Stegostoma tigrinum: one gene and its partner. The protein of the gene in region 1 interacts with the protein of each later gene in a biochemical or structural test. Links are inferred from orthologs where the notes say so. Each region holds a gene or a part of one and is shown on either strand. Other genes may lie near its edges. The genes, in order: pdzd2 and catenin delta-2-like.

What was found.
Region 2: the proteins of pdzd2 (region 1) and catenin delta-2-like form a complex in vitro, tested with the Homo sapiens proteins (2 studies listed by BioGRID and IntAct, with this or other methods). The link is inferred for Stegostoma tigrinum from reciprocal best matches to the Homo sapiens genes PDZD2 and CTNND2.

Annotation. Positions count from the first base shown.
Region 1 is NC_081354.1:140,701,612-140,718,474, reverse strand, and holds the start of pdzd2 (PDZ domain-containing protein 2), read left to right. Parts: upstream 1-7,677; 5' UTR 7,678-7,708; intron 7,709-16,863.
Region 2 is NC_081355.1:24,920,758-24,937,407, reverse strand, and holds the start of catenin delta-2-like, read left to right. Parts: upstream 1-9,855; 5' UTR 9,856-9,892; coding exon 9,893-9,938; intron 9,939-10,200; coding exon 10,201-10,275; intron 10,276-16,650. UniProt on the Homo sapiens protein: Has a critical role in neuronal development, particularly in the formation and/or maintenance of dendritic spines and synapses. Involved in the regulation of Wnt signaling.

The DNA of each region.
Region 1 (16,863 bases):
TGGAGTGTGCCTATGTGCAGGAGGTCTGGAGCGGGATGCAGTGGTATTTGTCGAGGTTCGTCCCGAGCAGCTCCGTGACGCGTGACTCCGTGCTCTACGGGCTGTTTCCGGGGACGCACACCGAGACCAACATCAACTGCGCCTGGAGGACCATCAATGCGGTGAAAGACGCTCTTTGGTCTGCCCGCAACTTGCTGGTCTGCCAGCTGAAAGAACTGACCCCGACCGAGTGTTGCAGACTGGCGCACTCCAAGGTCCAGGACTACGTGCTGAGGGACGTGCTAAAGCTTGGGGCAGCCGCCGCCAAGGTGCGGTGGGGAAAGACCACCGTATGAACCCCCTCGTCCAGGATAGGAAAAAGAACCCTATCTGGTAACTGGGCCCAGCTGGTGCCTTCCCCAACTGGTCAGAGGGCCAACGCGGACTGTGCGTGGTGACGACTGCCGGGGTGGTTTCTTTGCTTTGTTTTTTTTTCTCTCTGTTTTGCTTTTTTCCTTTAGTTGGTGTACTTACCCCCTGGGTAACCTGGAGTGGCTTGCATGACTGGGTAGGTGTATAAATGTTTTATTTTTTGTACATTCTATGAATAAAGTATATTTTTTCAAATAAAAAAAGTGATGAAACGTCTGAAATCTAACCTGCCAGCTCAGCGAGCAAACTCACATCCGTTAGAACCTATTATCAAATATAGGAAGCTATTATCAAATATAGCACAGCATTTAGATTAGATTTAGATTCCCTACAGTGTGGAAACAGGCCCTTCAGCCCAACAAATCCACACTGCCCGTTGAAGCAGCCCACCCAGACCCACCCCCCACATGCCCCTGAATACTATGGGCACCTTAGCATGACCAATCCACCTAACCTGCATATCTTTGGACTGTGGGAGGAAACCGGAGCACCCAGAGGAAACCCACGCAGACATGGGGAGAATGTGCAAACTGCATACAGACTGTCGCCCAAGGCGGGAATTGAACCCAGATCCCTGGCGTTCTGAGGCTGCAATGAATTAAGGTAATCATGCAGATTCAACATGGTTTTGCTAAAGGGGAATCATGTTTGACCAATCCATTGGAGTTCTTGTGGATAAAGCAACACACTCTATGGATGTATTGTATTTAGATTTCCAAGATGTTTATGATAGATTCCCACGTTAAGGGTTATGGCAGAAAATAAAAGCTCATGATGTAGGGATGTTATTAGCATGGATAGAAGATTACTTCTTGTTAACCAGCCAATGTGTAGGTATAAATGTATCTTTTTCATGTTGGCAAGATGCAAGGATTGGCTTCACATGAGCTGTGCTGGGATCTCAACTGTTTACAATTTACATGAGATGGAAGATGTAGTTGCCATATTTGCTTATATCAAGGGTAGGAAACTAATTGTGAAGAGGACATGCAGTTACAGAAGACTTAGGTTAAGTGTGTAGTCCAATATCTGGTAAATGGAGTATAATGGAATAATATGGAATTATTCATTTAGCAGGATAAATAAAAATAAAGCATGTTGTCTAAATGGTGAGAGATTAGATCTGTGGTTCTGAGGGATCTGGATTGTAAAAAGCTGGATTGTTGATACTACACATAATCAGGCAAGATAATAGAATGTTATAATTTATTGAAAAGCAAGTGGAACACAAAAATAGGGAAGTTGTGCTTTGGTTGTACAAGGCACTGATGAGAACAGCCTTATCTACAAATATACCCTCAAGTAGTTATCTATGGAAATCACTTAAAGTAAATAAACCAACACCAAGAACAGCACCTTCTATTTAAAATTTGTAATTAAATTCTTAAATAGACCAATATAAAACACACTTTGGTACCAAATCTCATAAAGGTCTAATAAGCATATGACTGTAGGTTGGGCCTGAGTAAGCAGCATCTTAAAGGAGGAAGGTGAGATTGAGAGGTTTAAGAAAGCAGTTTGAGAACTTAAGGACTGTATATGTGTGGGCAGATCTGTCAATAGAGAACCTCAAATGATCAGGATTAAATGATTGCAGATATTCTGGAGAGTTCTGAGGCTGTAAAAATGGTCATAGATACTGTGGGATAAGGCCATGGAGGGATTTGGAAAAAAACATTAAGAATGTTTAAATCAAGATGTTGCTTAGAAGGGAGCCAATGGAGGTCACCAAAATACAGGGTTATGAAGTCACGCAGCATGGAAACACACCTTTCAGTCTAACTTGTCTGTGCTGATCAGATATTCTAAACTGATCTCATCCCAAATACCAGTATTTGGCCGATTATCTTTCTAACCTCTTCCCATCCATGTATCCACTCAGATGCCTTTTAAAAGTTGTAATTCTATCCAGCCCCACCACCATCTCCTCTGGCAGCTTGTTCCACACATGCACCACCTTCTGCGTGGAAAAAGTTACTCCTCGGGTCCCCTTTAAATCTTTCCCCTCTTACCTTAAACCTATGCCCTCTAGTTTTGGACTCCCCTACTCTGGGGGGGGGGAAAAGATCTTGGCTGTTCACCCTATCTATGCTCCTCATGATTTTATAACCTCTATATGTAGAGGTGAAATAGGCTGGGGCTATTTTCCCTGAGCTTCTGAGGCTGAGGGGTGACCTTATAGAAGTTAATGGCTGAATATGCAGGGACCACCCCCCCCCCCCCCCCCCCCGGCCATCCTGGGGAAAAGACCTTGTCTATTTACGATATCCATACTTCTCATAACCTTATAAACCACTATAAGTTTGCCCTTTAGCCTCTGATGCTGAGGAAATATAACCCTAGCCTATTCAGCATCTCCCTGTAGCTTAAGCCCTCCAATCCGAGCAACATCCCTGTAAATCTTTTCTGAACCACAGAACTTGGTGCAATTAAGGACAAATAGAGCAGAGGCTTGGAAGTTGTCAAGTTTATAGAGGATGAAATTTGGGAAATCAGTTCAGAGTTCATTGGACTAATCCAGTCTGGAGATAAAGAAGGCATGAACGAGAAGGTCAAGAATAGGATAAAGGATGGGAAGATTGCAATAACAAAGATGTCGTGGAACAAAAAGTAAATGAAGTGTTCGAGACTGTAGTTAGGAAACGAAGCATTTTTCCAGAGTGAATGAATGTGTTTGAACAAAATATAACCCTGTTCTCTTTTTCCTTTATTTCATTCATGGGATGAGGGTGTTGCTGGCTAGGCAGCATTCATTCCTAATTGCCTCAAGGGCATTTCAGAGTCAACTGCACTGCTGTGGGTCTGGAGTCACATGTAGGCCAGACCAGGCAAGGATGACAGTTTTTCTTTCGGGAACTAAAGGGGATTAGCAAAACAAGATTGGTTTTTCCAACAGTTGGCAATGGATTTATGATCATCATTAGACTCTTCAATTCCAGATATTTATTGAATTCAAATTCTCCAGCATCTGCAGTTCCCATTATCTCTCGCCACAATCTGCCATGGTGGAATTCGAACCCGGGTCCCCAGAACATTATCTCAGTCTCTGGATTAACTGTCCAGTGTCAATACTACTGGGCCTTCGCCTCCCCTTCTGTTTCATAGTGATCATATGAAAATCAAAACTAAAACATATCAAAATGGGCGACAAAGTTCATGGTCTGAAATTGTTGAACTCTGTATTGTGTCTGAAAGCTGTAAGGTGCCTAAGCGGGAGATAAGTTGCTGCTCCTGGATTTTGCATTGAACTTCACTGGAACACTATTAGGTTGACAAAATGTCTAGAGGGGTAAGCTTGTAAAAATAACTTTTGTCTGAATCATTTAGGATGTTATTTGCCATTTTGATAAAATCAGTTTCAGTATTGTGGCATGGTGGAGATTGACTATTGATTCAAACATGGAGTTTGAGAAAGATGGACACAGATTTGGGAGATAACAACATGTGCAAATGCTTTGGAGAGCAATTGGAAGTTGATGATGGGCTGATGGTTTCCAAGGATGGAAGGGGTTGTGTGTTTTGTTGAGGAGAATAGTGATGATTATATTTAAAGGAACTTTTCAGAGAATCCAAGGAACATGAGACAAGATTTTAAAAAAAAATCATGGCATATGGGTCTCACTGGCTGGGCCAACATTTTTTGCCAATCCTCGCTGATCTTGCAGCATAGTGGCTCAGTGGTTTCCACTGCTGCCTCACAGTGCCAGGGGCCCAGTTTAATTCCAGCCTCTCATAATTTCTGCCTGGAGTTTGTACATTCTCCCTGTGTCTATGTGGATTTAGTAGATTGACTATGTTAAATTGCCCATAGTGTCTAAGTAGGGGGTGGGTCTGGGTGGGATGCTCGTCAGAGGACTTGATGGGCTGAATGGCCTGCTTCCACATTCTAGGGATTCTATGAGAGATGGTAGTGAACTGCTTCTTGAACAGTTACAGTCCACATGCTGTTGGTAGATCCACAATGCCCTTAGGGAAAGTGTTCCAGGATTTTAACTCAGTGACACTGAAGGTATGGAGATATTTCCAAGTCAGGATGATGAGTGGCTTAGAGGAGAACTTGCAGGTGCTTGTGTTCTCATATATTTGCTACCCTGTCATTATAGATGGTAGTGGTCATAGGTTTTTAAGATACTGTCTAAGGATCCTTGATGAAATTCTGCATTTCACTTTGGTCAATGATGGAAGGAATGGCTATGTGTGCACATGAGCCACTCAAGCGGGCTGCTTTGTCTAGGATGGTGTCAAACTTCTTGAGTGGTGTTGGAGCTGCAGTCATCCAAGCAAGTAGGGAGTATTCTGACTTGAGCCTTGTCGTTGGGGGACAGGCTTTGGCAAGTTACCTGCTGCAGGATTTCTAGCCTCTGAAATGCTTTTGTGGCCATTATTTATGTGGCGAGTGTAGTTTAGTTTCTGGTCAATGGTAGCTCCCAGGAAACTGATGGTGTGGAATTCAGTGACGATAATATCATTGAATGTCATGAAGCAATGATTAGATTCTTTCTTGTTGGAGATGGTCAATTCTTGTCATTTGTGTGGGAGCATGGAGTGATATTGACTGGTCAGAGTTTATTGAGTTCTGAAGAAGTTAAATTGAGCTAAAAGCATTAATTCTGTTTTACTCTCTCAACAGATGTAGAGACCTACCAAGTTTCTTTAGCATTCTTCTATTTTTACAACCGATAGGAATTGGGTTGGAGAGAAACTGGAGCAAATTCAAGTCCAGGGCAGGGAGTGTTCTTTACGTTTGCCTGGTGACATAGGGGAAAGATAAGGATGGCTGAAGAAGCTGATCATTTGGTCTCAACCTTACTGCTAAGGAAGGAATATGCCACACATGCTGTTGGAGGTAAGATTGGCAGAGGCAGGACAGAAGATTTTTGAAAGGATGTTTGCAGAAGAGAAGAGTTGAAGAATTGTCTTTGTATCCCAGGGCGATCCAGTAAATGAAAACAATGAAAGTATGTTCTTGATTATCAATAATTATTTGAAACAGTATAATTCAACACTTAACCATGCCATTCTAACAGTTAGGCTTTTTAATAGGACTTTTGCTTCTACTGAGGACTGGAGTATCTATTTATTTTTACAAGAGTGGATGTTATTGATAAGTATTGGTATGGATGGAATTCATCCTTGGAATTTACTGATGCCAGGATAATTGAATGCCTGCACTCAACGAGAGGCTGATGATAATGTTTCAGATTTTTATTTGAATATTGGACTACTGCTCAATTCATTTAATTCCTAGCTTTAAAATAATCAAAATACTGAATACTGCAAACCATAGATCATAGAATCCCTACCCTGTGGAAACAAGCGCTTCGGCCCAACAAGTCTCCACCGACACATCTGCCTATAACCCAATTTAGCATGGTCAATCTAGCCAGCCTGCACATCTTTTGACTTTGCTACAAGTATAACAAATTGTTGTTCTACAGTGAAGATAATAAAATGTGAGGCTAGATGAACACAGCAGGCCCAGCAGCATCCCAGCAGCACAAAAGCTGACGTTTCGGGCCTAGGCCCTTCATCAGAGAGCCCGAAACATCAGCTTTTGTGCTCCTGGGATGCTGCTGGGCCTGCTGTGTTCATCCAGCCTCACATTTTATTGTCTTGGATTCTTCAGCATCTGCAGTTCCCATTATCACATCGTTGTTCTACAGTAGTTGAATTTCGGAGATTCAATGATCTCCACCACACGATAAGCCGAAGTAGACCACAGAAGTAGAACCAATTTTTTGAAAACGCAGGGTCATGCTTGTAGAGCATCTACTTGGGGGAAAAAATGACAGCGTTTAATTTCTTTTGTTGTGAAATACCAAACTACGCGTTGGAAGGTTGTATTTACTCTTTTCAGCATGCACTCTATTTTGTTATTGTTCCCTAGTGCTGGAGTTGAACAAAACGCATGCAGTCTCGGCAGATATGTTTGCAGTGTATATCCTTCAGAGATCCTCGTCAACGTTCCCACGGTAACCCTGCCACATCTGCGATCTTTGCTGGATCTTGCAGCGCAGCAACAGGCTCTTTGATGTCTGCAAAATAAATAGGTTTTGTTACAGAGAGACGCTGCCTGTGAAGTTTATATCCACCAGAAAGGTTAACCTTCCATTTTTGAAGGCTGTGGGAGATTTATATTGTCCAGCTCGGGCTGTAACTGAAGCCCGAATCACTTGGCTAAATAAATGTTTTAAAGCGAATAAGTTTTCTGCGATGACCAGTTTGCAATTTAGGGTCTGTGAATTAGGAATCAGTCGATTAGTTCATATTTCCTGTAATTCATCCATGAATCTATACTCAAATTGTTCCTTCCCCATCACCCTAATGTGTAACGACAATTTACTTCATCTTTGATTAAAACGAATAACGGAGGAGGCTGGCGATCTGAAACAAAAACAGAAATTGCTGGAAAAACTCGGCAGGTCTGGCTGTATCCATGGAGAGAAAGCAGAGTTAACTTTTCGAGTCCGGTAGTTTGATTTTTCTCCAGAATTTCTGGTTTTGTTACTTAATCTTTGCCTGGTTTCTGACATTTAAATAATTGTCACTTTAGAAACACGCCTCAGAAGGGTCCAGAACCTAAACGTCAGCTTTCCTGCTCCTCTGATGCTGCCTGGCCTGCTGTGTTCATCCAGCTCTACCCCTTGTTATCAGAGATAATGGGAACTGCACATGCTGGAGAATCCAAGATAATAACATGTGAGGCTGGATGAACACAGGCCCAGCAGCATCTCAGGAGCACAAAAGCTGACGTTTCGGGCCTGGACCCTTCATCAGAGAGTCTAGGCCTGAAACGTCAGCTTTTGTGCTCCTGAGATGCTGCTGGGCCTGCTGTGTTCATCCAGCCTCACATTTTATTATCTACCCCTTGTTATCTCAGCTTCTGCAGCACGGCAGTTCCAACTATCTCTGTAACATTAAAACGTTTTATTTTCCTCAGTATTATATGTTACAATAAATTATAGGTTGCATACTAAATGTACAGCCGCTCCGTGCTTGCTGATAGCCATTCAGTCGGTTACAACCCGGTGTTGGCTTTGGGCAGAGGGGGCTGTGTTGTGTGAAGAAGCAGAACCACCGCTATCGGATCCTGGCAGGTCACTAGCAGATGACGGCTCGAGCTCAACTTGGTCCACGGAGACTCGCCCCACTGCTACCATTGGACTAGCTCCGACCGGCCGCAGAACCGATTGGCCCGAGCGAGCTGTCAATCAGCAGGTTTTGTCATTGGAAGGGCGGGAACGGCTGCTGCAGGAGCAAGCGGCGAGGAGAGGGCACCGAGTTCTCCAGTGAGCAGGTAAGGGTCGTGTACAAGGAACACCAAAAGTTCAAAAAATCTCCGACTCTCTCTTGCGTTCGTCATAACCAGTAGATTAAAAAAAATACCGGGAGTGGCAATATCTAAAGTGTGTAAATTTGAGTGACGGTTGGGAGGTTAGGATAATGTCATGTGTTTGAGAAAAACCGTAACTGGACATGCATAGCAAAAAGGAGAGTACCGTGTGAATTAATTCAGGTAAGTGATTGTTTGGCAATTTATTTTCATCCCCGAGGATTAAGATTTTCCTGCCTATGTTTATCTTGGTGGTTGCGCATGCTGTTTTGTGGATTGCGCTGCTACTTATCTTGAAATACGAGCTGTCGAGGAGAAATTTTGTTAGATTGGGATCCGCAACTTGATAATCGTGATTCCTAAGTCACAGTTGGGTGCAGTTTGAAGGTAAATCTCTCCAGTATGTCGCTGGACGATGCCAAGCACTGATTTACGTCCGTTTTGGTTCACTAGCTATAAGTTCAATTTACAAAGGGCCGTAACGTAGTAAAACAGCCCGAATTTTTTCACCAGAACATATACCACCGTTTGATGCGGAAGCATTTAAGAATCTGTTAGGGCAGGTGACCAAAGCTTGTTCCAAGATGATGGTAAAACGCATCTTAAAGGAAGAGAAAGAAGTGGAAAAGTTTAAAGAGGAAATGCTTGAGATTTGACCCCAGGTGGCTGGCCGGCACTAAACCTCAGCTGCAGAAATAATTTTAGGTGAAGTAATTAAAAATTTTGTGCAAGAGGACAAAGTTGGAAAGTACAGAGATAAATGTCTTGCCCATTTACAACCTTGCGAGCTGATATTAAGTCTTTTAACATTTTCATAGCCTGTTTAATGAAGGAAATAATAAACGTAGTTAAACAAAAGACGTGAATGGAGTCTGCTCATGTTTAAAATCAAATGTTGAGTAGCTGTTTCTCAGTTCTGGTTATGATTTCCCCTTGTTTGATGTTGCTTTTTTCATTTTTGTACACTGTTGAGAAATTACGAGGCTAAGCCTGCTTGTGCTTGGAGAAGATGAGACCCAAATTGCATGATGCTAGGAATTCCTGGCAGTTTTTTAATTGGTTGTGCAAAAAGTATTATAAAGTAGCAGAAATATCTATCCTAATGAGCCGAGCCAAATGAGGAAATTTTAACGATAGTAGGATCTGCAGACACTGGAATATCTGAGATAACCACGTGTAGAGCTGGATGCTGCTTGGCCTGCTGAGGAAATTTTAAATCTCTGAAGTGCTCAGTGATACAATTCCGCGCTCTCAAAACCAGTAGGGACTCTCTGAAACTGGAAGCCCACACAAAGGTTTAGGACAGGTACTTCTTCAAACTTGCATGTGTGGATTTCAGCTGTACAATCTTTGTACTTCTAAATTAATTTAGTTTTTACTTCCTAAATCTCAACTGCAGAATGAATTTAATCTATTTTCCATCTATTCATTTTTTTTCCTATTTTCTGTTTTTAGCCATTCATGATATGTGGACTTCACTGATGGGGCCAGTATTTGCTACCTGTCCTTGGTACCCTTGAGAATTGAGCTGCCTTTTTGTGCCTCTGCAGCCCATTTGGTGTAGGTAGACCCACAAATGCTGTTAGGGAGAAAGGTTAAGGATTTTGACCCAGTAACACTGAAGGAACAGCAATATACTTTTAAGCCTGACTAGTTAGTAGCTTAGAGGGCAACTTGCAGCTCGTGGTGTTCCCATGTAGGAGCTGCCCTTGTCCTTCTGGATCGTATTAGTTGTAGGCTTAGAAGTTGCTGCTTAAGGAGCTTTGGTGAATTTTATTAAGCATAAAACAAGGCAGGACCTGGATGAGACATGGCAGGGCAAGGGCAAGAGTGATGTTGTGGCTTGTATTCAAGTGTTTATTTTGTGTTGACAATTAAAATGTGTGAAATCCTTAAAAACATTGTGTAAGATATCTTTGCAAGGTACAAGTGAGTTGAAAATGGAATAGAATTTTTTAAAAAGTTACTTGCGTTTAACTAGAAGTAATTGCACTCAAAAGCCAGTTCAAAATATGACCAAATGTAAATCTGATGCACACAGTTGGAGAAAGACTTGAGACCCTGAGTACCCAGTGACTCTCCATTGTCTATGTTGGTAAGTATTTTGGTAGGGTTTGAATTCTAGAAATTGTAGGCACCTACTTATTGGGACTCTAAAATTCAAACTACCCCTTAACCAAAAATATTCATGGAGGTTTGAAATGACAGAATCAGGAAACTAAATTGATTGATATTGAATAAGATACAAATTTTATTTATTTCAGGTATATGTTCCATTTAAATCAAGCTTAGAAAACAGAACCTCTTCAAGCCCTAGCTGCAACCTTTACATGGGTTCAAGATTTCACACAGATCGATTGATAACATAAACTTATATCAATATTTCTTCCGGTGCTGAGATATTCTTAGCTGATTGCAGAAAGAATTGTAGTGTCAATATACACTGTATCTGTGATGTCTAAGTTGTCATTTTAGAAGTAAGTTATTGAAAGAATATAGTTTTACTGAGATCAGATGACTGAATTTGGAAGTTGCATTGTTCATGTTACATTTGAGTTTTATATAACTTACATTCTGGGGCTGTCTTTAAGGTGAAATGAAGGGAATTGTGTGACTTATTTTGTCTGTTTATAGCAAGTGTGGATGGTTTAATTATGTTATATTGGAGGGGATGCTGTTTCACTGGGAAGAACGAATTAGGGGTATGTTTGCTGAGTTTGTAGATGATGCAAGGGTAGTTGGAGGGCCAAGTAGCATTGAGGAAGGAAGGAAGCTGCAGTAGGATTTGGACAGGCTAGGATAGTGGACAAAGAAGCGGCAAATGGAATTTTTATTTTTCTTCATTCAGGGGATGAGGGTGTCACTGGCTAGGCAGCATCTATTGCCCATCCCTAATTGCCTAAAGGGCAGTTAAGAATCAGCCACATTGCAGTGAGTCTGGAGTCACATGTAGGCCAGACGAGGTAAGGATGGCAGTTTTCTTCCCTAAAGGACATTAGTGAACTAGATGGGTTCTTCTGATAATCGGCAATGGGTTCATGGTCATCATTAGATCCTTAATTCCAGATATTTGTTGAATTCAAATTCCACCGTCTGCCATGGTGGAATTTGAACCCGCGTCCCCAGAACATTACCTGGGTCTCTGGATTAATAGTCCAGCGATAATGCCACTATGCTATTGCCTCTCCTTAGAAATAAAATTTAGGAAAATGTGAGGTTATGCACTTTGGTAGAAGAATAGAGGTGAAGGCTATTTCCTAAATGGGGAAAAGCTTCAGAAATCTGAAGCACAGGAGGACTTGGGAGTCCTAGTTCAGGATTTGCTTGAAGTTAACGTGCGGGTCCAGTTGGCACTTAGGAAGACAAATGCAAGATTGGCATTCATTTCAAGAAGCCCAGAATACAACAGCAGAAATGTACTGCTGAGATTGTATAAGGCACTGGTCTGACTGCATTTGGAATATTGTGAACAGTTTTGGGGCTCTTATTTGAGGAATGATGTGCTGGCTTTGGAGGGGGTGACCTTTCCAGACCTGCTGAGTTTTTTTCCCAAGGATTTTCTGTTTTTGTTTCTGATTTTCAGCATGATTTATTTTTTGTTTAGTTGTCATAACTTCTTGTTTTTAAACAAGAAGCGAGAGACTTTATTGCTTGTGAACCAGTTGCTCCATGCCTCCTATGAAGAAGTGTGTGAATTTGAAGGAAAAAATCAGAGCACTGGTGGTCTTGGGAAACAAAAGGAACACTCCAGTGAATCCTGCTGTTATTGAACAGTTTCCCCAGTATTTTACTTGCCCCTCCCTGCAGAATATCAAATTTATTTGACTGTGTGTGTGTGCGCATACAAGTAATTTTTTATTCATTACCAGGATGTGGGCATCACTGGTTGGGTCAGCATTTATTGCCCATCCTTAATTTCCAATAGGGATGTTAAGAATCAACCACATTGCTATTTTGTTTGGAGTCACATGTATGCCACATCAAAAAATTGTGTTGGATGTTATGTCAGTGTGCTGGCCTTATGGACGTGCTATGATGCTGCAAGTTGAAAATCAAATCTTAAAGTAATGTGGAGCTGGCATGCTGCTGGCTTGAATTAAATAGATGCTTCTGTACTTTTGAACTCAAAGATTAACAGGGTTGAGTAATCACCGTAGATCCAAAGGTGACCTGATAGATGAATATTAACACAAAACGTAAGTGCAAGTTGTAGAGTCTAACAGGATCTGAGATGACATCCCATGAATGTTCTGGAACAGGGTCAAAGGTCACACATGTATGTTAGGTTTTTGTGGATGCTTAGCAATAACATCAACAGTTAACTTTGTGGTCACCTGTTTAAACAAAACTTCAGCTAAATGACTGAAATCAGATAGGAAATCATTATCCCATGAGTAATTAGCTAACATTTCTATTTTCACTTTTTGTTATACTGTTCACCTTGGAATTGATAGATATCACTGTTACTTAGCGTAGACAGGCCCAGTACTTATGTTGTGATGCCATAATTAACAAAGATGAAACTTGCAGGAGTGTGGGAATGCAATACTGTTTTAGGGATGGCTGTGAAATGAGGCATTTTCGGCACTCCAGAAGAACTAATTGTCTGTCTGTAACTTCCTTTGGCATGCCTGGAGGTTACAGAAGATGATATATAAATGCATGTTTCTTGTATAGCACACAGTTGATTTTCTGGCATTAAAAAGAGAAAGTATGAGAAGTGCATACAATTAATTAGTCACTAAAAGGAAAAGACAGACTAACACAGCCTGTAGGATGGTTGAGGCAGTTAACATCACACCCTTCAAAACGTACTTGGATAAGTACTTGAAATGTCACAAGATTCAAGGCTCTGGGCCTAATGCTGGAAACTGTAGATTTAGTATAGCTTTGGAAGTATAAACTTGATGGGCTGAATGACCCCTACTGTGTGATTCTACGGACAGTTCAGACATCCAGACAATGACAGAGAGAACAAATTGCAGCACAGCACAGGAATGAGCCCTTTGGCCCAAGATGTTATGCCACACATGACACCAAATTAGACTAGTCCTTTCTACCTCCTCTTCTAGGTCCATATCCCTCCCATTTCTTGCATATTCATGTGCTTATCTAAAAGTCCCTTAAACACCCCTATTGTATCTCCCCCTACCACCACCTCTGGCGGGTCATTCTAGTTTCCTACCATTACGTTCTGATTGTCAACCCTATCTATTCGTCTCATGATTTTATAGACTTTTATCAAGTCTCTCGTCAGTCCGTCGCTCCAGAGAAAACAACCTAAGTTTTTCTAGCATCTCCTTCAAACTCGTACCCTGTAATCCAGGCAGCATCCCAGTAAACCTATTCTGCACCCTTTCCAAAGCCTCCATATCCTTCCTGTAGTGTGGTGACCAGAATTGAACATAATATTCTAAGTGACGCTTAACCAAAGTCTTACAAAGCTGCAACTTGATGTACTGACCCTTGTACTCATTTTCACGACCAATAAAGGCAAGGGTGCTATACGCCTTCTTTATCATGCTATCTACCTTTGTAGCCACTTTGAGAGCTGTGGATTTGAACCCCAAAATCCCTCTGTACAATGCTGTTCAGGGTCCTGCCATTAACTATGTATCCTTAGCATTTGATCTCCCAAAGTGCAACACCTCACACTTACTCAGATTAAACTCCATCTGCCATTTTTCTATCCATGTCTGCAACTGATCCCTGTTTCGCAGTATCCTTTGACAGCCTTCTACACCATGACAACTCCACCAATCTTTATCATCCACAAACTCACTAACCCACCCGTCTATATTTTCATCCACATTATTTATATGTATGACAAACAGCAGAGGTCCCAGTACAGATCCCTGAGGAACATCACTAGTCAGTGACCTTCGGCCTGTGGAATTCATTGCCATGGAGCACAGTGGAGGCTGGGATGTTAAATGTCTTCAAGGCAGAGATTGATAATCCCTTGATCTCACAAGGAATTAAGGGCTGTGGGGAGAGTGCGGGTAAGTGGAGTTGAAATGCCCATGATTAAATGGCGGAGTGGACTCGATGGGCTGAATGGCCTTACTTCCACTCCTATGTCTTATGCCTTAAGGTCTTATCTTTATTCATAGCTATCTTAAAACTTAAGGAGTTGTGATCGCTGTTTCCAAACTTCTTTCCCACTGAAAGGTCATTCACATGGCCAGGCTCATTAGCCAATAGAAGGTTCAGTATGGCACTCCTCTAGTGAGACTAGCCACATGCTGTTTCATGAAACTCTCTTGAATGCGCTTAATAAATTCTGCCCTGTCTAAACCTCTTCCTCAAATGGAATCCTAATCAATATTGTGCAAGTTGAAGTCACCCACTGTGACAGCCCTATTGTCACTGATTTCCGTAGTTTGCTTATATATTTGTTCCTCAATGTCGCGGTTGTTGAGGGACCTATAATATAATCCTATTAGAATGATTGCATCCATCTTATCTTTGAGCTGTACCCACCTTGTTTCAGTGGATGAGCCATCTAGTATGTCCTCTTTGAGTGCAGATGTGACATTCTCTCAGATTTGTAATGACACTCCTCCACCTCTTTTATGTTCCTCCCTATCTCATTTAAAATAACAAAACCCTGGAATGTTAAGCAGCCAGTCCTGTCCCCCCCTCAGCTGAGCCGCTGTAACGGCCACAACAACAAGAAAGCCACACCGGCCCCAAAATGACTTTCCACATCAAGCAGATGTTCACCTGCACATCCACGAATGTGGTATACTGCTACCGCTGTACACGGTGTGGCATCCTCTACATTGGGGAAACCAAGCAGAGGCTTGGGGACCGCTTTGCAGAACACCTATGTTCAGTTTGTGGGAAACAACTGCACTTCCTAGTCGCGAACCATTTCAACTCCCCCTCCCATTCCTTAGGCGACATGTCCATCCTGGGCCTCCTGCAGTGCCATAATGATGCCACCCGAAGGTTGCAGGAACAGCAACTCCTATTCCACTTGGGAACCCTGCAGTCCAATGGTATCAATGTGGATTTCACCAGCTTCAAAATCTCCCCTCCCCCCACTGCATCCCAAAACCAGCCTAGCCTGTCTCTGCCTCCCTAACCTGTTCTTCCTCTCACCTGTCCTCTCCTCCCACCTCAAGCCGCACCTCCAGTTCCTACCTACTAACCTCATCCAGCCCCCTTGACCTGTCCATCCTCCCCGGACTGACCTTTCCCCTCCCAACCTCCCCACCCATACTCTCCTCTGCATCTGTCTTCTCCTCCATCCATCTTCAGTCCGCCTCCTCCTCTCTCCCTATTTATTTCAGAACCCTGTCCCCATCTCCCTTCTTCTGATGAAGGGTCTAGGTCCTAAACATCAGCTTTTATGCTCTTAAGATGCTGCTTGTCCTGCTGTGTTCATCCAGCCCCACACTTTGTTATCCAGTCCATATTACTGCTTAGCTAACATCTTAAGCTAAACAATGCCTTTGTTTTAATAGACTAAATGGATGAATGTAGAAAGGATATTTCCTGTTGTGGGAGAATTTAGAACGAGGAGATCCTAAATGAGTACTTTGTGTCAGTATTCATCCAGGAGAAGGAATTGGAGGATAGTATGATTAAGGTGCTAGGGAATTTTGAGATCGAGACGGAGATGGTGGTATATCTCTGAAAGAGCACCACAGTGGATAAGTCCCCAGGGAATAATGGTATGTACCCAGGTTTTTGAGACAGGCAAGAGAGGAGATTGCTGAGGCCTTGACCAAGATCTTTGTATGCATTGTTTAAAAGTAAAGGGCATACAAGTTAAAAATAAAAGAAAACTTTTTCTCAGAGGATTGAGTGTCTTTAGAATGCCTTTCCTCAAAAGGCAATGGATATAGGATCTTTGCCTTACCACTGTCTTAAAAATATGCAGTTTTAAAAACAAAGCAAAGAGCATAAATGCGTTGAAGATTACTGGGAAGCCAGAGGATTGGGAAGTCTTCAAAAGTCAACAGAGGATAACTTAAAAGAGCACTGGGGAAGACACTGGACCGCTGGAAAATGAGACTTGCAGTAGTAATGGGGAGCAAAGAAATAGCAGAGGAATAGATACTTTGCATCAGTTTTCACAGTGGATGACATCAGCAGCATGCCAGAACTTTGAGAGTCGGGGCAGAGGTGAATGTAGTGGTCATCTCAAAGGAGAAGGTGCTGAGGAAGCTGGAAGGTCAGAAGGTGGATAAATCACCCAGACCAGATGGACTACACCCCACAGTTCTGAAGGAGGTAGCTCAGGAGATTGTAGAGATGTTGATGGTGATCTTTCTGGCATCAGTCAAGTCAGGGAGTGCCAGGACTGGACAACAGCTAAATATGACACCCCTATTTAAGAAGAGAGAGAGGCAGAAGATAGGAAGTTAAATGGATGTGAGTTTGCTCGCTGAGCTGGAAGGTTAGTTTTCAGACGTTTCGTCACCATTCTAGGTAACATCATCAGTGAGCCTCTGACGAAGCGCTGGTGTTATGTCCAGCTTTCTATTTATCTGGTTAGGTTTCCTTGGGTTGGTGATGTCATTTCCTGTTCTTTTTCTCAGGGGATGGTAGATTGGAGAAGGTTCAGAGGAGGTTTACCAGGATGCTGCCTGGACTGGAGGGCTTATCTTATGAAGAGAGGTTGACTGAGCTCGGTCTCTTTTCATTGGAGAAAAGGAGGAGGAGAGGGGACCTAATTGAGGTATACAAGATAATGAGAGGCATAGATAGAGTTGATAGCCAGAGACTATTTCCCAGGGCAGAAATGGCTAGCACGAGGGGTCATAGTTTTAAGCTGGTTGGTGGAAAATATAGAGGGGATGTCAGAGGCAGGTTCTTTACGCAGAGAGTTGTGAGAGCATGGAATGCGTTGCCAGCAGTAGTTGTGGAAGCAAGGTCATTGGGGTCATTTAAGAGACTGCTGGACATGTATATGGTCACAGAAATTTGAGGGTGCATACATGAGGATCAATGGTCGGCACAACATTGTGGGCTGAAGGGCCTGTTCTGTGCTGGCCTGTTCAATGTTCTATGTTCTATGATTTGGAGCCAATGTGTTTGTTGATGGAGTTCCGGTTGGAATGCCATACTTCTAGGAAGCATCTAGGACAAATCTTCTCAAAACTCGA
Region 2 (16,650 bases), on another chromosome or scaffold:
AAAATGCCACGTCGAGATGACATTCAATAACTGACAGCAATTTACAAAAAGCTGTCAGGGAAAAGAATATACCTAAGTCTAACACAAGCTGGAGGAGCAGCATCTTATTTTCTACTTAGAGATCCCGAAGCCTTCAAGATTGCATACTGAGTTTAATAATTTTAGGGACTGACATCTTCTTTCATATCCTTTAGCTACCTCCATACCTCAGGCCTTATCATTCACACAGGTTGCTTTTAGCACAGCCAACCTATTCTCACCCAGTTAGGGTCCCTATCATCAGTTTTTCTCCTTCCCTGGTTGGCCATTGTCCATCCATTTGTTTGTCTAACCACTGTTTTCTCTCACACTCTCTCTGGGCTCCATCTCCACCTATTGCATACTCCGTTACCCCCATGCTCTGTCTTCAACATAAACACACCACATTTTCCTAGCTACTACTTGTTTTGATGATGTCACTGGACTTGAAACATTGACTCTGTTTTCTCTCCACAAATGCTGCCAGATCTGCTGAGTTTCTCATCATTTTCTGCTTTTGTCAGTTAAATATAACAATTAGAAGACCAAGTAGTCAAGCTTTGAGAAGCACAGAATGTCTTGTCAGAGTTTTGATTTAAACATATGAAAGAACTTGAAAAGATTAACATTCAATAGGAATTGTGATGATCTAACTACTACAAAAAGACCATTCACCTAAAGGCCAAGGGAGTAACACCCAGTCAAAATAATCAAATCTGGGAGGCTACAAAGGAAAATGTTACAGTCAGTAGAAATTCTCAATGGAGCCAGCCAGTATCCTCACATAACTGAAGCAATAAAGAGTTACAATAAAAATGGCAGAAGTAACTCTTTTACAGTTCACAGAATATTATTGAGAGGTTTTCACTTCTTGTTAAAGTGGCAATCACCTGCACAAGGAAGAGGATCTTTGAGAAAAGACTAAGAAACACATGAGGAAAAATCCCAACTGGACATCCAGTCTGCAGACCAACGCTGTGGAGAAATGTCTTATCGATTTGACGTAAAAATGCGTCCCCTCTCCAATGATGATGCACATCTGCTTTTTGATGGTAATTGTAGACATTCTTGTCTATTGAGACGTAACCAACTTAATCAATCCATGCATTCACTCTACAAAACTAGAACAAACATCCTCATGCATCCTGTGCACCCTCTAAGAGAGCTGAAAATGTTATTAGAGATTAATGCCTGAAGGCAAAAAGACTTTACTGCTTTGGAAGATATCATAAAAATGTTAGATGTTTAGACTTAAATGTTATTCGTAAAATGGGGTAAAAGTACTATGGGAAAGATATAGAGTAAGTTCATTGTGATCCCTGCTCCAAAAATAGCAACTTCATGTGAGCAAGAGACATTATGTCAAAGTGACATCAGATTAATTGGAATTAGAGCCTTTGTCTGTAAAGCTGTAGAACTTCTTTTTTGCCATATCTTGTAAATAGTTACAAAAATAACATCTGTTAAAATTTACTCTGATGACTGTCAACTATACTTCTCCTGATAGGCTGGAGATATTTCCTTCAGAAGCGTGCGGACTGAGCAGTGGCTCAACAGAGATCTCCAAAATTATGAAATGGTAATCAAAGTAGCCGTGGGAAAGATGAGTTCATTTGTGGAACTGACCAACTAGGAGGTGTGCAAATTAGAAACAAGTAAATACAAAATGGAATTCAAGGGAAACCTTTTCATCCAGAGAGTGATTAGAATATGGGACTTGATGCCATTAGGCAAATTCAGGCAAATAACGCAGGTATTTATAAGATGATGTTAGATAAATCCATAAAGGAGAAAGAAATGGACATTTATTAGTTGGTTTAGAAAAGGAGGTTGAAAGAGATTCTTGGGACATAAAGGTTGGTATGGATTGGTTGGGTTGAATAGCATATTTTGTTCTGTACAAGTTTTCATATTTTTGGTTGCAACTCAACATGCCAGCCATCATTTTATTCAAAAATCAAAACTTCTCTTGAAGTGATTTTTCACTATAATCTTAGAATTGTAGTTATGTCAGGTTTTACTTGTACTGTGTTGTGTAATTTTGCAGACTGTGCTGGCAACTAAGCTGTGTTTGACTTCAGCATGGTTTACAGTATGCATTATTTTGAATATCAAAGTCAGTGCTTTTGCCATTGAATTTCAATACTGACAAATACTTGGCATAATTTTCCGCTACAGCATAACACAGCCATACTGGAAGCATAGGCTGTATCTGTGTGGCATTTTTAAAGCAGTGAAACATCCCTAAACACTTCACAGGAGCATTACCAGGCCAAAATTATACACTGAATCACCGTTATCTCTGTGATAACTCAGGAAGCCCACCTGGAAAGGAATGTCATTTATTATTGAACATCAAAACAGATCCACTACTCAAGGTGTACATAAACAACTGCTAGCCTAGGAGAGAGAGTTTATATTTTTAATCAAACTGTTCAGATGTATTATGATATACCTCAGGAGCAGATGGGTCCTAAACCTGAGGTTTCCTGACTCAGAGGTAGAGACACTATCATTGCACTACAAGAGCCCACTGCACCACAATTAACCTGTTCAGACATTATATGACATACCTCTGGAGCAGATGGCACTTGAACTCAGGTCTCTGGTCCAGAGGTAAGGACATTACCACCGTGCCACAAGAGCCCTTACTGGATTACCAGCCCAATTCCATTACCACTTTACCAAAGCCAATAGAGTTCATAAGTGCATTCTAATTAACCAGTTCTGAGATGTCACTAAACACCTCTGGAAAAGGTGGAATTTGAACCCAAGCCTTCTGGCTCAGAGGTAGAGACATTACCACTATGCCACAGGAGCCACCAATAGATAGTTTACTATACCTTTTTTTTCAAAAAGCAGCCAGTTCAGAGATGTTGTGATGCATTTTTGGAACAGGTGGGATTTGTAACCAAGTTTCCTCACACAGAGGGAAGAAAACTACCACAGCACTATTTACATATATGTATGTATGCAGAAGTGTTATCACACACAACCGGTTTTCCCATCATCAAATTGTTGTGCCATTTTTGTTTTTTAAACTATCAACTACAACCAGTAAATCAACCATGTGTTCAATTTGAAGTTTGCATGCAAAACCTTTAACTGGCAATACAAGCCATCAAAGTGAGGGGGGGCTAGGGAAAGCAGGAAAGAACGAAATCAGAATGGTTTTGGAGGGGGAAATAAAGCTCTGTATCTCCTTGGTGTCCACCTTTCTTGAAAGGCATTAAGAGTATTGCTGGACACCACATGCTGCCTCTCCTCGGACACCTAGCCACAAATGTAACTGTGGAAGACATGCAGATAGTTGGCAGCTCTGACTCACTCTACATTCCATTGCCTGGACATGTTAACAGCCAACCTGGCCAAGTCTAGGAGCAGACCCGCGAGGAGGTCCTTCAATTTACCCATATGCCACTGCACATGATGTGTGTGACTGAAATGCAACCAAAAATGCAACAAAAAGATGTTTCACATGGCCAAAAGTGGGTGCAGTCGCCAATAACCAATACATCCATGTTCCATGAACTCCACAGTGCCACAAAATGAACAGCTGGGTTGGGAGTCAGTGAACCACTACAATCTGCAGTCATATGGGGGTGCTGTATGCCACACGCACCACTCAGGTCTCTGATGGAAAATGTAACAACTCATACTTTGAGATCCCTCCACTGAGGTTCATTTTGTGTCTACTTTATTTTCTTTTAATATCCAGAAATGTTATCACAAACAACTAAACGATTTTCCCCCCACCCAATCACCATGACATTGTTTGCCCATGCAGCCAACTAGAAGTTTGCAATGCAAAGCCCATTATGAGTACTGTAAACCATCAACAGCGAAGAAGGAAGGTAGAGCAGGGTGAGTGGGATCCTTATGGCCTTCTTTCTGTTGGATGTAATATTAGACAACAATGTGAAATCACCCAGATGTGTAAACTAATTGCCGAATAGAAATGAGTGGCCCCATACCTTTTCATGCAATACCTATCTTTACCTGCCCTCAAGCCATAACTTTGTTGAAAGCTTCCCTTGATATCATTAACCTATCACCAGCTCTGATGAAAAACTTGAGCATCAAACCTTACTGACATGATTGAATATAAAGACAAGCATGTTGCAAACGTCTTAAATCTATTTGATCTAAGTTAAATTTTCATCACTTAAAATGTGAGCGTAATATAAATACACTAAAGTTATCACTTATTACTTTCTTGCCTGTGCCTGGTGTCTTTCTACTTTGAGCTCTCCTAGCCTTTTTCAGTTTCTATCTATTTCTATTCTGTCCAATTCCTCCACCACTTCTGTGCTGTGACATTAAGAGCATTATCATATTCACTAAATACAGATTGAAATTATTTAGTATTGCAAACATATCCTATGCTTCTGCAAGATTGATTCTTTCTTTAGGACTGTAATCTGGCTATGCTTCCATTGACTATCCTATTATTATTCATATATTTATAAATGACTTTGGACTCTGTTTTATGTAATCCATTAATCTGATCTCTCACATTCTCACATTTAATTGATCTATGTAATTGATTTGCCCACACTTCCTTTATGCTTCAATAAAAACATAATTTTAATCGATAAATTTCTGTTTATATTCTGATGTATAATTAGTCCTATGTGTTCAGTAGGCTCTGGTTGTAAATATTGGCCCAAATATTATTCCACTGGGAGGAGAGACCCTCAAATGACCATATGTCTTTGACAAGTGTTGGGATCCTGACAAAGTCAGGCATTTGAAGCATGTTGGAGGTTAAGGAGGAAGGAGAAGACTGTAAAGATTGAGGAAGAAGGGGGAATACTGTTGAAGAGTAAGCGAGGGAGAACACAGTTGGCGAGTGAGCAGGGTATGGGTAAATACGATCAACAATGAGAGCGGGAGGAAGAATACTAGCGAAACATCTGTGCTGAAGTTGACATTGGAAGATGCAAAGGTTCCAGTGTGAAGCAGAAAGTGGACAGTTTCAATTACACTCAGCATTAGGTGCACTGTCTCCACTGCTGACTGGAAGATGTGGGCCGAATGATTTTGTTTTCAATCATTAGGCCTACCCTCTGGTTTCCTCTGGTCTGCAACACCTGAGTACAGTGCCATCACATCATTCTCAATTGGAAACATTAGTTCCTCCAACTTTGAAAAGCTGTTGATTTCAGAACCAGCTTTAGGACTAAAAGAACATAATCCAAGTTGAAAGTTGCATCAGCGCTGAGAGCAGGTGGTATCCTTAAATGAGACTTTACGCCGAGCTCAGTTGGTTAATGTAAATCCTAAAATATCCCACGAAGGAAATCTTGGAACTTCTGCAGTTGTTTTAGCCAACAATAAAAATCAGGGCCTTATGTATCCTCTGTGATTTCAGGACACCACTCCTGCAACCCCTTCACAGCAAGTAGCTAGCAATAATTACAACAGATAACTCCATCCATATGATCAAAGTCCTGCAGTGCAGTTGTGATATTTGATCTTCCAGCATATTAATCAAACCACCATTCATGTCTGCTGCAAAGTATCTGTCTCCAACGCAGGATGCTATACCAAGTTGATTTTTGTTGCCCAGGAACGGGCCTTAACAAGCTAAATATTTCATTAAAATGAGTAGGTAAAGGATTTTGATAAAGGAAATAAGCAAAATGTTTCTACCTGTAGGAGAGTTGATAACAGGAGACCATTATGTAAGGTAATTGAAGCAAAGGAAGTGTGAGAAGAGAAGATTGTCGTGCATGCTTCAAGTTCTAATTGGCTGAATACCATTTAACCATCTTTTAATTCATTCGTGAAATCTGGGCATGTGACCAGGCCAGCATTTATTGCCCCTCACGAGTCAACCATATTGCTATACATCTGGCGTCACATATAGGCGAGATAAGACTAGCAGACTTCTTTCCCTAAAGGACATGAATGAACCAGACTGGTTCTTATGACCATTAACAGTGATTAAGTGGTATTTTCCTTTATTAAAAATTGAATTCAGACTTCTCAATCAACCGTGATGGGATTTGAACTGACTTCTCCTGAATGTTACCTTGGAGGTTCTTTTGATTTATTTATTTGTGGGATGTGGTCATCGCTGGTTGGGCCAGCATTTATTCCCCATTCCTAGCTACCCATAGGATGGAGTTGAGCTGCCTTCTTGAACTGCTACCATTCAGGTACTGTGGGTTGACCCACAATGCCGTTAAGGAGGGAATTCCAGATTTTGATCCAGCTACAGTGAAAGAATGGTGATAAATTTCCAAGTCAGGATGGTGAGTGGCTTGGAGGGGAACTTGCAAGTCGTTTCTTGATGGAAGTGGCTGTGGTAATGGAAGGTGCTATCTGAAGATCTTTGGTGAATTTCTGCAGTGCACCTTGTAGATAGCACACATTGCTGCTACCGAACGGTGGAGAATGCTTGTGGATGTGGTGTCAATCAAGCAGGCTGCTTTGCCCTGGATGGTGTCAAGTTTCCTGAGTGTTGTTGGAGCTGCACCCATCTAGACAAGCAGGAGTTATTCCATCATACCCCTGACTTGTACCTTTTAAATAGTGGACACCGCCGAGGAGTCTGGAGCTGAGTTACTTGTTGCAGTATTCCAGGCTACTGTATTTGTATGGCAACTCCAGTTGATATTTTGCAACTGCACTGCTAGCCCAGTGACATTACTACTGTACCACCACTTCACCAATGATTAGCTCCTGAAAGCCTTTATCACACGGCGAAACTCTAGGACAAAAGTCTTTTTTTTCCTTCTTTCCCAGAGTTAGTGTAACACTTCTTTGTACCTATGCCTGTTCCAGAATCTCAAACTCCAAGATTTGGCCTTCCCTCCGCAGATACCAAACAAACTCTATTCTGCATTAACCCCAAGTAAATTTCATTCAATAGCTGACATACTTTTGTCTGCTAAGCTTCACCTTACCCCATTATTGCACTGGCTAGGCTTTTTGATCTGATTAGCTCAAAACCCTCTTTTATGGACTTACCTCACATCCCCTTTATTTCCTGCTGTAGCCAGAGGTTTGAGTTCACACTGTCCGTCCTTCTGCATCCCAACATCTGAAACGGGATGCTATAAAGTCCATTTTATGTTGAAAATGTTAATTGCTGCTGAATAACATACATCAATTACTGCCAACAGGATTCACAGAAATGTAAAGTGTTAGTCAATTTTGGAAGCTATTCAAGTGACCATGGGTGGCACGGTGGCTCAGTGGTTAGCACTGTTGCCTCACAGGGACCTGGGTTTGATTCCAACACCAGGTGATTGTGTCGAGCTTGCACATTCCCCCATGTCTGCGTGGGTTTCCCCCGGGTGCTCCAGTTTCCTCCCACAGACCAAATATACGCAGATTAGGTGGATTGGCCATGGGAAATGCAACATTCTAGGGGTAAAGTCGGGGGCTTATGGGTGGGATACTCTTCTGACGTTCAGTGTGGCCTTGGGGGGCTAAATGGCCTGCTTCCAACCTATAAGGATTCTATTATCCTATGTAATAAATTTCTGGTGAAAGTCGCTGTGAAGGAACCATTTGTTCTGAGTGATGACTGATTTTGATGGATTTATTTTGACACTCAAACAAGAACTTTTAAGAATGTAATGATGTCACCTTTGAGCCATTTTGTCTGCACTTAGATGATGTTCTCAGAGTCTAGCCATGATAATACATTGCGATGCCAGCTAGGTGCCATCACCGTGGCAACCTGCTTGGTTGTTCCAAGCACTTGCAATGATAGCATTGATGCTAGCTTCACTGCATACAGAATCTTAGAAGAATCTGAGAAAAATTAAACCGTTAAACAGAACAGTGAATATTTTTTCTCTTCTTGTTATTCCACTCCTCCTCCTTGTTTGTTTCAATAAACAAAGGGAACTAATGTGCAGTATTTTCTGTGAAGACCCTGGATTAATGTGCACACTTGAAATATCAAGGCTGCTATTTCTCCTTCAGTTAATGGTCATGAATTTGCAAATGCTTACAGAACCCAAAGAGCTACCAAATTCAAAATTACCGACAAAAGTGCAACTTTTAAAATCACAAGAATGTTCATATTAATTACAAGCCCTGTTTCATTGCTTAGCTTTAAAGGAATGCTGGTGTTGAGATCCTGATTTTTGTGATACTTATTATTAAATAATGTGATTGTAGCTATAGCTTGCAATCACCAGAAGCCATACAATTTCGCGCCCCAGCCTATTTTTAAAAAAATGAAAATATCTAAATGTTTGACAGATTTAGCTGCAATTCAATAATCTCTTCTCTCAAAGACTAAAGTGAGTGGATGCTGTGGGGAATTAAGTGTTGCACTGTGCAGCAGAAGAGAGGGTGCACTTTGTGAGATTAAGAAAGGGCTGCATCTAGATTTAAATTAACACAGGGGACTGTTCTAAAATAATTGAAATCCTTGAGTTGTTATTTCTCTTTCTCATCCTATGCCATCTTTCCAATTGATAATCACAAAACTTACGTAATAGGAACATCCTGGAAAGACTATGTCTGACTCTTTCCTGTTGATACTTTCTATCTGATTGCCAGCTTGCCGTGTCATTGCAGGGAAATAACATTGACTTTAATGTATGTTCAAATTATAGTACAACACTCTTAGGCTATTTCTTGATTATGCCGAGATTCTCAACTGGCCAGTAGTGTCCTGCTGACTTCACATTGTGACTTTCTTGGAAGAAACCAGCATGTGTCAATATAAAGCTATGTTCATAAACCCATTTGTGCTGCCAGCAATAATTTGCAAATGGTTGAGGCACAAAAGATGGTTAGGCACTAAACATGGCTTTGCACAATTTCTGCCTCCACCTAATTCTTCTGTCATTTTAGAGATGTTTTCTTAAGGGTAATTTTTAACTTGGCTAATGGTGTAGATCAGGTAATATCAGACTTGCTATGTGTTATGCACCTCCCCTGGGAATGAACACTTGGGAGAACTATGCAACCAGTTGCAGCTTCAACATCATCTGTCCTATATTACTGGCAAGTAAAATTACTCATATTATCCTTAATGTCCTGCAGTAAAAAATATGTTCTGCAAGGGCATGAATGTCTTGTGCTAAGATGTTGTGTACAGTGGTGAGTAGACTTCACGGAACTGAAAGTATAGAGATCAGTAAACCCAATAATGCAGACCCCTCAAACATTTTCATCCATTCATGTTCATTTCTCAAACCTACCGTTGTGTTTCAAACCTAATTTCTTAAACTGGCTGCCTGTTGGGTGCATAGGGTGAATGCATGTTCTGTAAGAATTGCAGAAACAGCAAATGCCCACAACCCAATGCTATTTGATTACTTTTAACCAACGTGCTACACTTAAGATAGTCCACTTTACTTGAGGTCAGAAATTTTTGCAACCAGGTTCTCCAGTGATGGGATTAACAAAGTTTGTTCCACCTTATGTATCCCAAAATGGGCACTGTGCAAGAACATTTAAAAGATACAAAAAGGTTTTTGGGTGCATCAATGTCTATCCCATTTGCTAATGGGATACCTGCTAGTGAGTGACACCTGGAATTGTGGCTTTTCCAAAGCTCCTTAGATGTGAGAGCGTGGTTAATTGTGCAGCCAAAGTGAAATCCTGTCTTAAAAATCTAATCATCCCCGTTCCAGGAAACTAGCTAGTATTCTGATGAGAATGAGGACAATGGGCTTGAAATCCCATCCTGACCCTTATACAGAGAAAATCAGAGAAGGGGAACTAAAAGCCCTTGGTCTTTAAGAATGATATCACAAGTCACATGAGTTGAAGCATGACTGATGTACTTTGATAACCTTCTCAATAGCAGCAGTGTTGTCAGCTGTTAACATTTAAAGGCCAGTGCACACATGAAAGAAGCTGAAAATAGTAGCCATTTCATTGTCAGATTAAATTCATGGACGGCTTCAACTTAACTTGTTTGAAAAGTTTTCCATCTCATGGTAGGTTTTCATTTTCTATACAGCTCAAACTTGGAATCTTTCGTGGCGTTTGATGGTATTCTTTGTAATCCAAAGATTTTATCAAATGTTATGACTTTGATGCTTACTCACAGCAGATGATAAGATTGTGTAAACATTCATCAGAGCATAAAGTTTGGAGTTGAAACAAGCAGATTTGAAATTATTAAGCAGAAAGAGATTGAATCAATAGTGGCTGGTCATACATCTATGAGAGTATTCTCAATTATCTTTTATGCTGCAGTTGTGAAGATCCTTATTAGAGAAGAACGGCTGACACAGTTGAGTAAGACATTAACATCTTCCAACATGTATAGCAGTAAGTTCTACAAAAGTGACCTCTTATTTCAGCTGATCTTGATGACAACTTTTCACATCTTTGTGCTGAAGAGATTTATTACAATTGGAAGGCAATGAATTTCAATGAAATATAGAACATTACAGCACAGTACAGGCCCTTCGGCCCTCTATGTTGTGCCGACCTGTCATACCGATCTCAAGCCCATCTAACCTACACTATTCCATGTACGTCCATATACTCATCCAATGGCGACTTAAATGTACCTAAAGTTGGCGAATCTACAACCGTTGCAGGCAAACCGTTGCATTTCCTTACTACTCTCTGAGTAAAGAAACTACCTCTAACATCTGTCCTACATCTTTCACCCCTCAATTTAAAGCTATGCCCCCTCGTCCTCGCCGTCACCATCCTAGGAAAAAGGCTCTCCCTAACCACCCTATCTAACCCTCTGATTATTTTATATGTTTCAATTATGTCACCTCTCAACCTTCTTCTCTCTAACGAAAACAGCCTCAAGTCCCTCAGCCTTTCCTCGTAAGACCTTCCCTTCATACCAGGCAACATCCTAGTAAATCTCCTCTGCACCCTTTCCAAATCTTCCACATCCTTCTTATAATGCGGTAACCAGGACTGTACGCAATACTCCAAGTGCAGCCGCACCAGAGTTTTGTACAGCTGCAGCATAACCTCTTGGTTCCGGAACTCGATCCCTCTATTAATAAAAGCTAAAACACTGTATGCCTTCTTAACAGCCCTGTCAACCTGGGTGGCAACTTTCAAGGATCTGTGTACATGGACACTGAGATCTCTCTGCTCATCTACACTACTAAGAATCTTACCATTAGCCCAGTACTTTGCCTTCCGGTTACTCCTACCAAAGTGCATCACCTCACACTTGTCTGCATTAAACTCCATTTGCCACCTCTCAGCCCAGCTCTGCAGCTTATCTATGTCTCTCTGCAACCTACACCATCCTTCGTCACTATCCACAACTCCACAGACCTTAGTGTCGTCTGCAAATTTACTAACCCATCCTTCTATGCCCTCTTCCAGGTCATTTATAAAAATGACAAACAGATAAAAATGACAGCCAGGGCATCTTTATACGGTTACCATATATACACCATTTATACGACTTTCTCTGATCTTCATTTTGTCATGGGAAGGTGTGATCAATGCCTGGTGGGAACAGCAATAGCACAACACTAGAAATTTCACTATCATTCGTTGGGGATGAATAGCACTTCTGTCGCAGTCAAAACAACAAGAGTTGTGTAAAATCTGAAAGGGGACACCCATTCAGTTTTTCTGTTGCCCACTTTGCTTAGCACCTTTCCTGTCAGGAATTCAGCACATTAAGGATCATATTTTGCTGCTTTAATCCTGTAAAATCCCATGGTTGCTGCTATGTGTGATATCTACCCTGAGAAAACTCTTCTCATAGATACATAGAAAATAAGTACAGGAGTAGGCCATTGGAGCCTGTGTCACCATTCAATATGATCATAGCAGGTCATGCAATTTCACTAACCCACTCCCGCTTTCTCACCATACCCCTTGTTCTCTTTAGCTGTCAGGGCCACGTCCAGCTCCCTCTTGAATATATCTAATGAACTGACCCCAACAACTTCCTGCAGTAGAGCATTCCACAGGTTCACAACTCTGAGTGAAGAAATCCTTCCTCATCTCAGTCCTTACCCCTTATTTTTAGACTGTGACCCCTAGTTCTGGACTTCACCAACATTGCTAACATTATTCCTGTCCAGTCATGTCAGGATTTTACATGTTTCTATGAGATCCCCCCTTCATTCTTATAAATTCCAGTGAGTTCAAGCCTAGTCAATCCAGTCAATTCTTCATATATCAGCCCTGCCATCCCAGGAATTACTCTGGTGAAACTTCACTGGACTTCCTCAATAGCGAGAATGTCCTTCTTTAGACTTGGAAACCAAAATTGAACACAATATTCAAGATGTAGCCTCATCAAGTCCCTGTATAACTGTGGCAAAACATCTCTATTCCAATTCTCAAATAATCTCCCTTTGAAGGACAACATGCCATTAGCTTTCCTTACTGCCTGCTGCATCTGCATGCCAGCCTTCAGCAACTGTTCCACCATGATACCCATGTCTCGTTCCACCTCATCTTTTCCTAAGCTGCCACCATTCAGATAATCTGCCTTCCTATTTATGCCACCAAGGTAAATGACCTCACATTTATGCACATTATGTTGCATTTACCAAGTATTTGCCCACTCAGCCATGTTGTCCAAGTCATCCTGCAGCCTCTTAGCATCCTCCCCATAGCACACACTGCCATCCAGCTTAGTGTCATCTGCAGATTTGGAGAAATTCTTTTGCTTTCCTGCTTTCCTTTGTCCAAATCATTAACGTATATTGTGAACAGCTGGGGTCCCAGCACTGAACCCTACAGTATCCACTTGTCACTGCCTGCCACTCTGAAAAGGACCCATTTATTCCAACTCTCCGCTCCCTGTCTGACAACCAGTTCGCTGTCGACATCAATACATTACCTCTGATACCATGTGCTTTAATTTTGCTTACTAATTTCTAGTATGGAATCTAGTCAAAAGCCTTTTGAAAGTCCAGTTTCACAACACCCACTGATACACCCTCGTCCTCTCAACTTGTCGCATCCTGAAAAAAGTTCCAGAAGGTTTGTCAAGTCTGATTTCCCTTTGGTGAAAAGCTAGTTCCAAAACTAATAGACCACTAATTTGGTATAAAAGTTGTATTTTATAATAAAGCATTTCGAACTCGAAGCAGCCATTAAGCTGCTCACCAAACTGGCATATTCGTCATGTGTGCAAATCTCTGTGCTTGTGTCTCTCTAGGATAGGTACGTCATTTATCTCTCCTCTCTAGATTCATTGTCTTTTGTATTACCAATGATTGAGGGTGGAAATTTAGTAGTTTATGACACCGGCCAAAGTACTGTTATTATTAAATTCCAGTTTGTCAGGTCAGCTGTGGCAATAATGCGAACTGAATATATTCCATTTGGGGTGACTGTGAGCTAGTTGGAAGCTCGTATCACCAAAATTCGTTTCCATGACAAGTCATTCTTGACATTGCCTGTACAGTTCTCCATTGGTCTTCCTCAGCGTGGTATTCCATATTCCTCTGTGTGCAGACTCGTGAAAGGTGTTAGTGATTTTCATTCTTGAAATGTGCCTGAACTATCGCAGTCATCTCACTTGAATTTTCTGTATAGGTATTGTATATCCAAGTTTTTTGTTGTATTATGGTGCTTGATATAACATAAGAGACAATGTTAGTTATCTCAGTTATCTTTTTCTCTTTATGCTTTATATTTGCTCAGAAAGATATTTTAGCTTGTGTTTCAAATGCAATTGCAAATTAAACACCCATTCGAAGATGCTCGGCAACTATTCTAATTGCAACTTGCCCTTTCAATGGAACAGGTTCCTTTTGAAAACTTGTATCAAAAAAATTACATCGTATAAAAGGTAAATGCCTTTATGGATGAAGCTTGTTTTTTTGAAATTGGCTGTGGAAATGGAATAGAAATTCTCCAGAGTGCTTTTTTCTGCCTATTGATTTTGTTTTGCCTATTAACCTTGTAATTTTTCTGTTTATTTGTCTATCTCAGGAAATTGCAAGGTTATGAGTCAGGGAGTAGGGCTTAAAGGAGTTTTTAGTGTTGTGAGAAGGTCTATGCTGAGGGAGGGAGTGTGGATGGAGATACCAGGCTCACGTACTGCTGTGTTGTGATGTCTTTTGATGTAGAAGTACCTGTGAAGTCAGGAAGATGGCAGTCCTGAATGAGGTCAAGGGGAATGGCCTTCTATCAAAGGGTCCTGGTGGAGAAAGTCAAGGACAGCCTTCAATACCAGTCCATATCTGCACCACCCCATGCACCATGACCTCCAGGTCCCTGCCCGCAAAGGAGTACAACAATTTTCCACTGTCTGCTATGTCCGTGGCAAATATCATGAACTATGCAAGGCTGCTCTAACTAGACGTGTTAGTCTGGGTGCACAACTACCTTGTAAAGGTGGCACTGGAACCAGATACATCCCAGATGTGGTGAGTTGTTCCCGGTATGGTGAGTGGGAGGATCCGATGGAATTCCGCCACAGCGGCAGGGTAGATAACTAATGATATGAGATTAGGAACCCAGTAGGCCTCAAGGCAGTAATCGCTTCATGACCTCAAAAGCCAAAAGCCAAAACAAACCTAAGATGCAGCCCAATGTTTCATCTTGTGGGAGACTCTATATTTAAGGATCACTGTGTGGAAATAAGAGATCATCTATTTAAGACGGTGATTTAAGAGCTTTTGCACAGAGTGTTATGTATCTGTTGATCTCCTTTTGTGACAATGTGGAGTTGAAGATAGAATCCGATCAGCCATGATCTTCCTAATGGCCGAATGGTCTCAAGGGATGACATGGTCTATTCCTGCTGCTGATGCGTACATTTGTATTCAGTTCTGATGAAGAGTCACTGGACTCAAAATGTTAACTCTCCTTTCTTACGACAGATTTTCCCAGACCTGCTGAGTTTCACCAACAATTTCTGTTATTTTTTTCAGATCTCCATTATCCACAGTTCTTTGTTTTACATTCATTTTCTTAGTTCACCTTTTGGTATTCTGAATTTTGGCCAAATCTACTTGAGGTGCTGAGCCCTCACAAACTTTAAAATTCTCTCCCCAAGTTCCCGCACCCAAAAATTAACATATTTATTCAGTGATGAGAACTCCCTCAAAACATACCTCTGATTGGATCTTGAATGGACCATCCACACACACAAACTTTCCTATTCTTGATTGTATTTGATTCCCAGTCAGTTTCTACTGCTGCGAAGTGACTGCCTGAGGTAGGAAAATAAACAATAGATACCCAGGATAAATAATAACTAATGATAATAATAACATTATGTTGTGGCTGTACATGATGTTGGTGAGGCCCCTTGACGGGTACTGTGTCCAGTTCTGGTCTCCATTATAGGAATGATATTATTAAGCTGGATAGGGTTCAGCAGAGATTTACCAGGATGTTGCCGGGAATGGAAGGTTTTAGTTATTGGGAGAGACTGGATAGGCTGGGACCATTTTCACTAGAACATAGGGGTTAAGACGTGATCTTATAGGGCTTTATAAAATCATAAGGGGTATAGATAAGGAGAATGGCAGGTCTCTTTTCCCTAGAGTGGAGGATTTCAAGATTGGTGGAATATTTTTAAGGTAAGAGGGGAAAAATTTTAAAAAGACCTAGGGACAATTTTTTTTAACACAGAGAATGGTTCGTGTGTGGAATGAACTTCCAAAGGAAGTGCTGGCTGTAGGTACAGTTACAATGTTTAAAAGACATTTAGATAACTACGTGAATAAGAAATGTTTGAAGGGATATGGGCCAAGTGCAGGCAGGTTGGACTAGTTTAGTTTGGGATTATGGTCAGCATTGGTTGGACCAAAAGTTTTGTTTCCCTGCTATATAACTCTTCGACTTTAAGAGAAATGTGCTTTGGAGATAGTATTCTGTTACATGATGAGGTATGGAATTGAAAACTGTTGATATTTTTGTACTCACCTTGTGACACACCCATCCAGGATTTGCAATAGATTTCTCTTACTGAAAATGAAGAAAAGCAAAAGCATACTGATGGTGGAACAGTGATCCACAATGATGACCTATCACGCCAGGAACAATGTATTATGACGTACAAGGCATTGCCATTTCACAGACCAATTTGGATAGGCCAGAGGGCTGTTTCCTCTCTGTCATTTTTGTAAGTTCACATCATTGTAAAAGACAATTGTTGCTAGAACAGCCATGTTTCCATAGCAACTCTTTGCTTCCACTCAATCAGCAAAGGAAATGCAGAAAAATTACTGAATGTGCAATCACATACTATCCTTGGGTAAAGTCACTATGCTGAGGTGGAAGACTATAATCTAATTGCAGTGATGTTTATAAACTCCCAGACTCTTTACAATGCTTTTTCTGGTTTAACTTTAGCACCTAGATTTCCAATGACTGAAATATAAAGTTCCCACCTCTGTTTTGAAGTCCTCCATGGTGTTGTCCCACACTCTCTTGCTGCACTGTCCTCCAGCCCACCCTAAAGTCTGATTTCTTTCAATTTTGGTCTTTTATGCACCCCACCAATCTCAGCCTAATTTAGTGTCTATGCCATCAGCAGTCTAGGCTATTCCACTGCTTTGGATTTCCATTCCTAAGCGTCTCCACCTTCCTCTCACCCTTTAAATTCACTAAAGTCATCTCTCTGACCACGTTTCTGCCTATCATCACTCCCTGCTTTGATGTGGAGGTGCCAGTGTTGGATTGGAGTGAACAAAGTCAGAAATCACACGACACCAGGTTATAGTCCAACAGGTCTGTTTG